2 linked regions of the Oryzias latipes genome follow. The protein of the gene in region 2 purifies or fractionates together with the protein of the main gene of each other region. This does not show direct contact. Links are inferred from orthologs where the notes say so. Each region holds a gene or a part of one and is shown on either strand. Other genes may lie near its edges.

Region 1 (4,455 bases), on a different chromosome or scaffold from region 2:
AAGTAGGACAACTGACAACAAGTGATGAAAGAAATCAGTTTGACAGCTTTTATTTTTCGCTCTTTGTAGTTGCTTTGTGGTCATGGCACAATAGTGAACATACTTTTACTCTCTACACTCCGAGCTGTTTTTGGATGAGGTTGGTGTGGGTTTTTCTGGTACCTATTAAATATATTGCTGAGGTTAAACCAGGTTTCAGAAAGCACAGAAAGTATGCAAAGCTCTTCCTGCAAAGAGCTCCAAATTGATGGGTTAAAGTGAGATCTGCCTTGCGTTATTTAAATGTAGTGTCTACATTTTTAAGGTTCTACTTTAGCAACATTAATAGGACACTTTAAAGACTAGAGAGTCATGAAACAACAGCGCCTGATGAGACAAACAAGATAGCAGTTTCACTATCACGTCTTCTTTTTTGTCTTTGGCGCTGTGTATTTGGTAGTTTGATGCTCCATTCTGTCATATTTATCGTGGCCTTCCCTGGGGACATAATGGAAAAGGGGAGAATTGATAATTCATCACACTAAATACTTTATATTCACGCTGCTTAACAGTACAGCAGCGTGCCAACATTTTATCTGGGTCATAACATGCATTTCAAATCAACACTCTTGATATCAGAGTAAGGATTTCCCATAGAGGGCATCGTTTTAAGTCCTGGTCAGGAATATTAGCTCTAAAAATCTGAAATAGTTACCGGAAGCAGCGGTTGCAGTACAGGCTTCCGTCACACGTGTGACAACGAAGGCTGGCGTCTTGATTACAGATGCAGCACCATGGAAGCTCTTCTTCTTCACTGTCTGATGACTGATGCATGACAGCAGCAGGTGAGATTCTGCTCTTAGGAGCAGGAGCCGAACTCTACACGCCACAGCAAAAGAAAGCAGTGTTTTAAATAAAATGCAGCCAAACAGCTTAAAAGAAAACACAGAATTTTGATCAATGAACATACTGATTTTTTAGACTTTTTTTTGTTTTCTGTGTTCCTGGGGCCACTCTGCTCCATGGGTATATTGTAGCCACTAGCTTCATCAAGAGCTGCCTCTTCTGAAAGCTGGAAAGTCAGAAAAACTAAAAAACATCTTAGCCAAACAGCAGCCTCTTGTGGTCAGAATGAAATGCTGTCCTCAAAAAGGTGCAACAAAGTAAGTGTTTAGTTTTAACTGCATTGTGAAATGCCCTCTGCTTTTCTGTGAATGCCTTACCTGCTTCAAGATTCTCCTCACAGCCTCTTCTTCAGTCTCTTCATCACTGTCAGGACTCTGGAAGTCCTCCATTGTGACTAAAAGTGTATTATAGAAATGTCAGTTACAAAGTTTTAAATTCAAAGTCTAGTCATTTTTCTCCGTCATAAAACTATAAATGTTGGTAAACTGCTCCCTGCACCTTTTTCTGGGTCCTGCCCCTTGAGCTGCGCCAGCCTCTTTGCCATATGGAGGACCTGCTCTTGGGAATGTTGCTCCTGCCTCAGCTCCTGCATTGCCTCCTCGAGAAGACGGTCTTTGTCCGCCTCCAAATGTTTCACCGTCTGCCGATTTTCCTCTAAGTTCTCATCCCATGTGGCACCTTCCCCTTTGTTCAGATCATTCATATGGCTATTTATGTCTTTGAACAAAAAATAAAATATTTAGAATGAAACCAGTTTTCCATGATTAGATTGTAGGGGCAGTAAATTTTATTGCTTTTTAATTAAAACTATTTTTTTAAACAAGCAAAACATTACTTTGTTCATGGTTTAACTGCTGGTTGTCAATGCAAACTTCCTCTGTCATCTGAGTAATCAAATCATTAGCTTGTTCAGTCTGAGTCCGTTTATCAGGAAGCTGGTGAACCTGTCCAGACGAGAGCATAAGGATGTGTTAGCAGGTAGACCATACTATTACCGGACTATTTATGAGATACTTGAGACTCTACCTGGGTTGCATATTTTATAAACCATCACCCATAAAAGAGGTGGGGATTTAACTCACAGGAGGAGGAGCTTGAGATGGTGGTGGTTGACCCCGTAGAGCAGCCAGACGGTCCTCCATTTCCTCTATGGAAGGCACTGGCTGGCTGGGTGCTTTGAGAGCAGCGAGACGAGACTCAAGATCACTCTGAGAGGGAGATGGCTCTATAGAAATGGGGAAAAAAGTATGACAAATAGGAGGAAAACTCATGTCTATTATAGGTGTTTAATTTATGCTCATTAAAAAAAGATCCTACTTGGTCTAGTCTCCTCTTTTAATCTTTGAAGACGCTCAGCAATAATCTGATCTTCTTTACTTAGACCTTTACATGGTAGATGACCCGCTTTGTTGCTCCCTCCATGTGCAGCAGATTTCACAGACTGTCCCTGCTGTTTGGCCTCAAGGGCGGCGACACGCCTGTAAAAGACAGTAACTTTAGATAGTGTTCTTAATAAACCCACATGTATGTATTTTCCCCCTTTTAATCTGATCACATACTAACTTCTTGTAATTTTCTGGTGGGGACCATCTTCCGGCACTGCTCGGAGGTTCTCCACTGATGAAGAGAATAAAAACAAAAGATTATTCGACTTTGGAGAGTTCATCAACATAATTCAGCAGCACTTTTTATTTATATATTTATACCTTGTCAGATTACCGTGACATTGCTTGCAGACCTTCTGTTGAGTGTTTCCGCAGCGAGGCACCACAGCACTAAAAGCCAAACAGCTGGGGCAAAAAGATCGCCCGCAGTTTTTACAGCCCAGCTATAAACACAATATTATATAGAATAAGCCTTCAGTACACATTTATCAAAACACAATCGTGTCATGTTCATATTAGCCATGATACTACTATACCTCTTTTTTGAAAAGACTAAACTTGGATGCGCAGCAATAACAGCGACCGTCCATTCTGCCCCTTCATTAAATATGAGGTTATCACATACGATACACCAGCAATTAAATGTGAAAAGAACTTTGCAAAATTAAGAAAAAATAAAATTAAAAACACAGAAAATGCTTCCTCCTGTTCTTGTATTATATTACTGAACGTAGCTAGAACCAATACCGGAAGTAAACCGGAAAACGTCATTTGTCGTCATCTTTGTTTTTCCGGTATTTTCAACCCACCAATCAGCTTTCTCCTTGTGTTCTCGCGGGACTTGTTCAAAAAAAACAGCGAGCTAACCGTTTCAGCTTTGCACGGTCCAAGATTTACCTGCTTAAAAACTAAAGAAGCTTGTAAGTAGTAATAGTAATATTTCATGTTTTATATTGAAGAAAATTTATTTTATTCTAATTGATTTGCCGAGTCTAAAAATACGGCCACGATTAATTTAAAGCATGCGAATAAAGTGATGGAATATCCATGGTTACACACTCCCACCCTACGCTAAGCTAACTAGCTTTTCGAACAACAACAACCTGTCTTTTTTTCAATTCTCAGAATGAAAACATAATCTGTTTTATCTCAGAATGAAAACATAATCTGGCATAGTTGGTTGCAGCTTGTAGGTTTACACGGTAATACCCCGTCTTAACTGTTTTGTCTACTGTTGATATTTGTGGATTATGGAAATCCTGTAGCAGCACAAACTGATTAAAATAAAATGTATGTATGTAGCAAAGGGCAAAATGACCATTGTTGTGATTAAATTCACATAATCTTTGGTTTGCTTACCTTTAATATCCTGTGATTATTTCAAAGTTTCTGATTGGAGTTTTTTGCCCTCTCCACCTTTTCCAGCATTTCCACTATGGCGGAAGGTGGTGATGTGGAATGGGAGCTAAGCAAAGAAAACATTCAACCACTAAGGCGGGGAAGAGACATATCTGCCTTACATCAAGCCTTAAGTCAGCAACAAGATGGACCCACATCAGCCATAAACCAGCAGAGACAGTATGGATGCTTTTGCAAACACAGCTATTGATCTGAAAGATTTTCAGCTGAAAATGTTTTGGAGTTTGAACATAGTTTTGTTTCCATTATTTAAAAATGTAAACTATCCTGTGTTCACAGAACATTTGAGTCTGAGCTACGCATGTATGATGGAGACGATCCTCTTGGTGTTTGGGATAGGTAAGCGACTTCTAACTAGGAATGCAACAATTCACCTTCCCTACAATTCGGTTCAGACCTCGATTTTTGGATCAGATATGTCCCGATCTGTTCACGCGATTGGAAATGGGGCCCAAGCTTGTAGTTTAATCATTATTGAATGTTTTATTTCCATCAGGAATCAAATATTTATTTAATTCTTATTATGATCAGTGTTACATACATCAAACTTATTATTACAGATAAATGCTCTGCTGGAAGTCTGCATATCATGAACAGATACCAACATTTTATTGCCTTAAAGCTCAGCAGAGTATGGCACTAGTTTGAGTAGGAGGTGGTTGAAAACAATTGGATAAAGTTAGCAAGAAATTCATTGATACAGACTTTTCAGGATCAATAACTCCTTTTAATAAACATTTAAAACTGACAGGAAGTGTCTGTATTG
Region 2 (4,356 bases):
TTCGGTACCGACTGAGTCACCTGTGAAAAGGTGAGGAAATTTAATGGGCAAGATGACAGCCTCCTTCAACGCCTCCTTTGCTCCCTCCAGTCCAGCGACGTCGTTCCATCGGACGTTGGGCTTCTCCATAACAATGGCGCCTAAACAGAAGACGAGGGAGGTGACACCGCTGCAGGAGCGCAGGCGACATGCAGATTTACAGCAACACAATTATGAATAGTCATAACAACTAATCCTTTCTTCAGGAACTTTTATTTGTTAAATCAGTCTGTATTCAGAGGGAGGCGGAGGCACACATGCTCATTGAGGGAAAACATAAAAATGTGTGTAAATGCGCAGATCTATAAATAATGCTACTATCCTTTCACAACCAGAAACATACTTTTGTAAACTTTTTTATTTATTTATGTGAGAAATCTTATTTTAAGATACCAGAGACTGACCCATAAGCTGCTCCTGCAGTTTCTTCTTCTCTGGGTTTTCGCCCTCACAGTCGCTGTCGTTCCTTTAACACAAAGACAGAAACGTTCAAGCACAGCTGGACTTCTTTATGAGAACATCAGAAGTCGGTGACGGCCTACTTGTCATTGCTCTGTGCCTCCTTGAAGGGCTTCTTTCCTTGTTTGTCTTTGTTCTTCAGGTAGTCCTTAAGTTTCTCCGCTCTGTCCAGGTACTGCATGCACTTCGCTCGAATGCTCTCCTTTGCTTTGTCACTGTGGGCCTCATCTGAGCCGCAAATGGAAAAATCCGGTTAGAAAGGTGGCGCCGCGCTCCGCAGCACCGCTACACAAAATCCTTACATTTGATGGCATGCAGGAAATATTCCACTGCATGCTGGTACAAGCGCAGGGCCTCCTCGTAGTTCTTTGCCTTGTCTTCCTCTGTGGCTTTGGTGACAAGATCGATGGCTTTCTGAAGGACATGCAAAGTGAAAGGACAAATTACAAACACACACATTGCTGGAGAAGCAACTAAAAGACAACAGCAGTTTTTTACAAACTAAAAACCTTCATGTACGTCATGTTCAATAACGTTTTTATAGCACATACGTGGCTGCAGACGAAAAAAATAAAAAATAAACCAGAAAGACTTTCAATAACATCATAAAAAATGAATTAAAAATAAACCTGAAAGTAATAAAAGTGAAATGTTTCATTTTTATGTGAAGTTATTTCATAGTGTCGGTACATGAGTTTGAAGACTGAAATCCTTCTTTTTATTTCTGGATCTGGACCCGTCCAATAGATTTCTGTAATCATGAAGTTCTAGTGGGTTTAGTGTGGACAGGTTTGCATAAAACCACAGAAATTAAAAAAAATCTTGAAATCAACAGGTAACCAATGTTGAGAGACTATAAACAGTTGGGATCTGTATGGGGTTACATAACAACTAAAGGAAATAAAGACATTTTGTTTTTGGGTTAAACAAATTAAAACGGAAATAACATGATCTGTGCGTCTGACTTTAGCCTATGAATAACACAGAGTTCAGGAAATAGTTTTCAAAAAACGTTAAAAATAAACCTCCAGCCATCAAAAAAGCAGTAATAATTCACATCTTTACGCAGCTATGCATGATATTAACCTTTCTGAGAAAAAGTGCAAGTTTAGATAATTTTCTACCGCTGATTACGAGGCTTGCAGGTGATTATTATTGAATATTTGCAGCAACAAAGACAGAAACCATGGAAAAATGCAAACGGAGCAAAACTCCAGACCAACAGCTACATGATTCTGGACAAAAGGCCAATATTTGGGTGAAAGCTGAACTTTGTTTTTATCCTGTACATTTCTGCTCCATAAATCTTCAGAAGATTTTTAGGCATTTAGGTCAAATTCAGTTCCTTCAGGGGACTTTTGATTGTGGCCTTAGTTTTACTCATTTCTCTTATTTTTATTATATTAAAAAAATCTTACTCTCATTGAAACTACACAATAAAATCATTTAAAAATACAATATTGTCCAGTTTAGGTTATGATACAACCAAATTTTCTTGTACTTTGGGTTTAAAAAAAAAAGTCTGAATTGATTGCTACTTAATTTAGTTCCAATTTTAGAGTAAAGTATTTTATAATGTCTTATGACCTTTCTCCTAAACTTTATAGTCACTATTACAAAAATGTCAACATCAGTATTAAAACGTGTTAACTAATGCTGCATTTAGAAGTCAATTGTCTTTAACTTTTTTAATCAAATTTTGCAGTTAAATCATGTTTATATTTACATAATTTTGAAATATTTGATAGTATTTAACTTTGTTGGGAATTTTGCTAGAACGTTGACAGCAAACAATTCAGTCTTCATAATGGAATGCAGTTCATTCACATATTTTCAGTAACCACGTTCAACTGTTCTCATTTCTACATGAAATTATATTTTCATAGATTAAATTAAGAAATGTGTAAAAAAAGAAAACCACTAATAATTCATATCAGGTTCAGCTAGAACATACGCATGATCAGACAATTCTAAAACACTCATAGGTGTTTCGTGAATACGTTTGCCCCATTGCAAAGTGTTTTATTTAGCACAAAAAGAAAAGTTAGCATTAAAGTAAATATAACTTTAAAACATTAAAACCGATTTTTTTTTCGGGTCAGTTGTGGCTAGCTGCTGGCGTTTAGCTAGCGAGCAGTAGCCTACCTGTAATGTTGACGTTGTCATTTCATCTTCTGTTCTCCGCCCAAATGTCTTTCCTGTGACCCTCCCCAAAGGTGGAGAAGCGAAACCGCCCGCGGGGCTATTTTAGGAGGAAACGTGTAGCTAATGACATGACAAATGGAGAAACAAATGCGACAGCTTCACCAAACAAAACCACATCAACACCGCAACTTCCGTCAAGCTAGCACATGCGCAAGAGACGTCCGTTATTTTGTTTTCAAAATTGAGCTGAAAACGGCGGGATTAAGAGCTGTAAATTCTGTCCATCACAGTAAAAAAATAGTATATAACAAAAATATGTTGTTTTTTTTTACTTTAAACAACAGAAAATATAATGACAACAATTGTGAAATTTAATTTGAAAAGGAAAGTAACCAACATCCGGTTGTGTGGCCACACAGTATTGACGTCAGAAATATAGTCAACGATGAACCGCTACTGCCACCAAGCGGCGAACTTTGTCAATACACACATTTAAAATAGTATGCACATAGTTAATTTCTTTTAGAAACAATCTGGACTTTAAATGAACTACAGCAATCTTCAATTATTACTTTTCCCCCCCAACTTAAATCTTTTTTTGTATAGTCTTGAGAGAACTCCAGCTGTGAATTGGATGGCTGTAAAGAAATAGTAATAAATAAGTGTTAGAACACAAATCAAACATGCTCAAATGGCAAGAACTTGAGAAGTTCTTAGGATTTCACATTTGCTGGTGGGAAAAATTTGATATTTTTTGAAAGTAAATCATGACATGTTTTGTTTGTTTTTCCCTTTTTGATTGGATCAATTAACAACAGCCAGTAAAATAAAAATACAATTAGAAATTAAAGAGAAAAAAAATAAAAAAGAACAAACCCAGGCCAAATCTGACTTTGTGGTTTCTTCAGGGTTAGTTTTTTTCCACTTTGCTCAGTTATGCACTAGACGGTAAAGATAATTACATATAAATGTAAAAATATTAAACTAGTACTTGTAAAAAACAAGTTAAGAAATGAGGCGATTACAGAGTTTACATGGCTCAGCTGGTCAGAGGAAAGAAATGGCTCAAATTAATGATAGACCTGATTCATTAACAATATTTTGTCTAAGCTTCAGAGAAATTAAAAAAACCAAAAAAATCTTGAGAAAATAAATTGCATAGCTATTATAAATAACCCGATTTAAACAGATGAAACCAAGTTTATTTACTTAACACAGAATCACCCAAAGTCATTTAATTACAACCTAAAAGAGTCAATTTTTTTGATATTTGTACAACTATTAACTTGTGTTTATTTTCAGACTTAAGAAGTTAAAAATAGATACATTTAGATTAAAAAAATTCTCTCACACAAGTAGAGTAAAAACAAATAAAAACTAAAAAATCTAACTAGGATGTGGTTTTTCACACAAAAGAAAAAGAAACATCAGATTATAGAATTTATAAAGGTTTTATTGGTGTTATTTACATTTGAAATAACTACATTATCATTATACATTGTATACTGGAAAGACGTCTACAATACTTTGCATATAAGTTGCTGCAGCAGCACTTTATCCTCATGTAACGCTTCATTTATGATTGTGTAGGACGCAAGCTGCCACAAGTAATACCTTTGGTTAAAAAAAAAACCCTTCTGGAAGCGAGGCTTTGCATAGACAGGAGACAGTCGGAGGAGAGCCAGCGAGAACATTCAGCGGTCTGAGAGGTTA

The links.
Region 1: the proteins of vps4a (region 2) and zfyve19 purify together in Homo sapiens (affinity purification with mass spectrometry; 3 studies listed by BioGRID and IntAct, counting the BioPlex papers as one, with this or other methods). This does not show direct contact. The link is inferred for Oryzias latipes from reciprocal best matches to the Homo sapiens genes VPS4A and ZFYVE19.

The regions. Positions count from the first base shown.
Region 1 is NC_019880.2:14,826,024-14,830,478, forward strand, and holds zfyve19 (abscission/NoCut checkpoint regulator), read right to left. Parts: upstream 3,048-4,455; 5' UTR 2,861-3,047; coding exon 2,807-2,860; intron 2,714-2,806; coding exon 2,592-2,713; intron 2,503-2,591; coding exon 2,449-2,502; intron 2,364-2,448; coding exon 2,203-2,363; intron 2,111-2,202; coding exon 1,968-2,110; intron 1,830-1,967; coding exon 1,721-1,829; intron 1,603-1,720; coding exon 1,384-1,602; intron 1,280-1,383; coding exon 1,203-1,279; intron 1,052-1,202; coding exon 950-1,051; intron 859-949; coding exon 695-858; intron 478-694; coding exon 399-477; 3' UTR 23-398; downstream 1-22. Other genes in the region: bub1b (mitotic checkpoint serine/threonine-protein kinase BUB1 beta), read left to right, coding at 3,706-3,848, 3,969-4,028. UniProt on the Homo sapiens protein: Key regulator of abscission step in cytokinesis: part of the cytokinesis checkpoint, a process required to delay abscission to prevent both premature resolution of intercellular chromosome bridges and accumulation of DNA damage.
Region 2 is NC_019864.2:27,656,900-27,661,255, reverse strand, and holds the start of vps4a (vacuolar protein sorting-associated protein 4A), read right to left. Parts: upstream 2,855-4,356; 5' UTR 2,665-2,854; coding exon 2,644-2,664; intron 913-2,643; coding exon 801-912; intron 727-800; coding exon 582-726; intron 506-581; coding exon 444-505; intron 141-443; coding exon 21-140; intron 1-20. UniProt on the Homo sapiens protein: Involved in late steps of the endosomal multivesicular bodies (MVB) pathway. Recognizes membrane-associated ESCRT-III assemblies and catalyzes their disassembly, possibly in combination with membrane fission.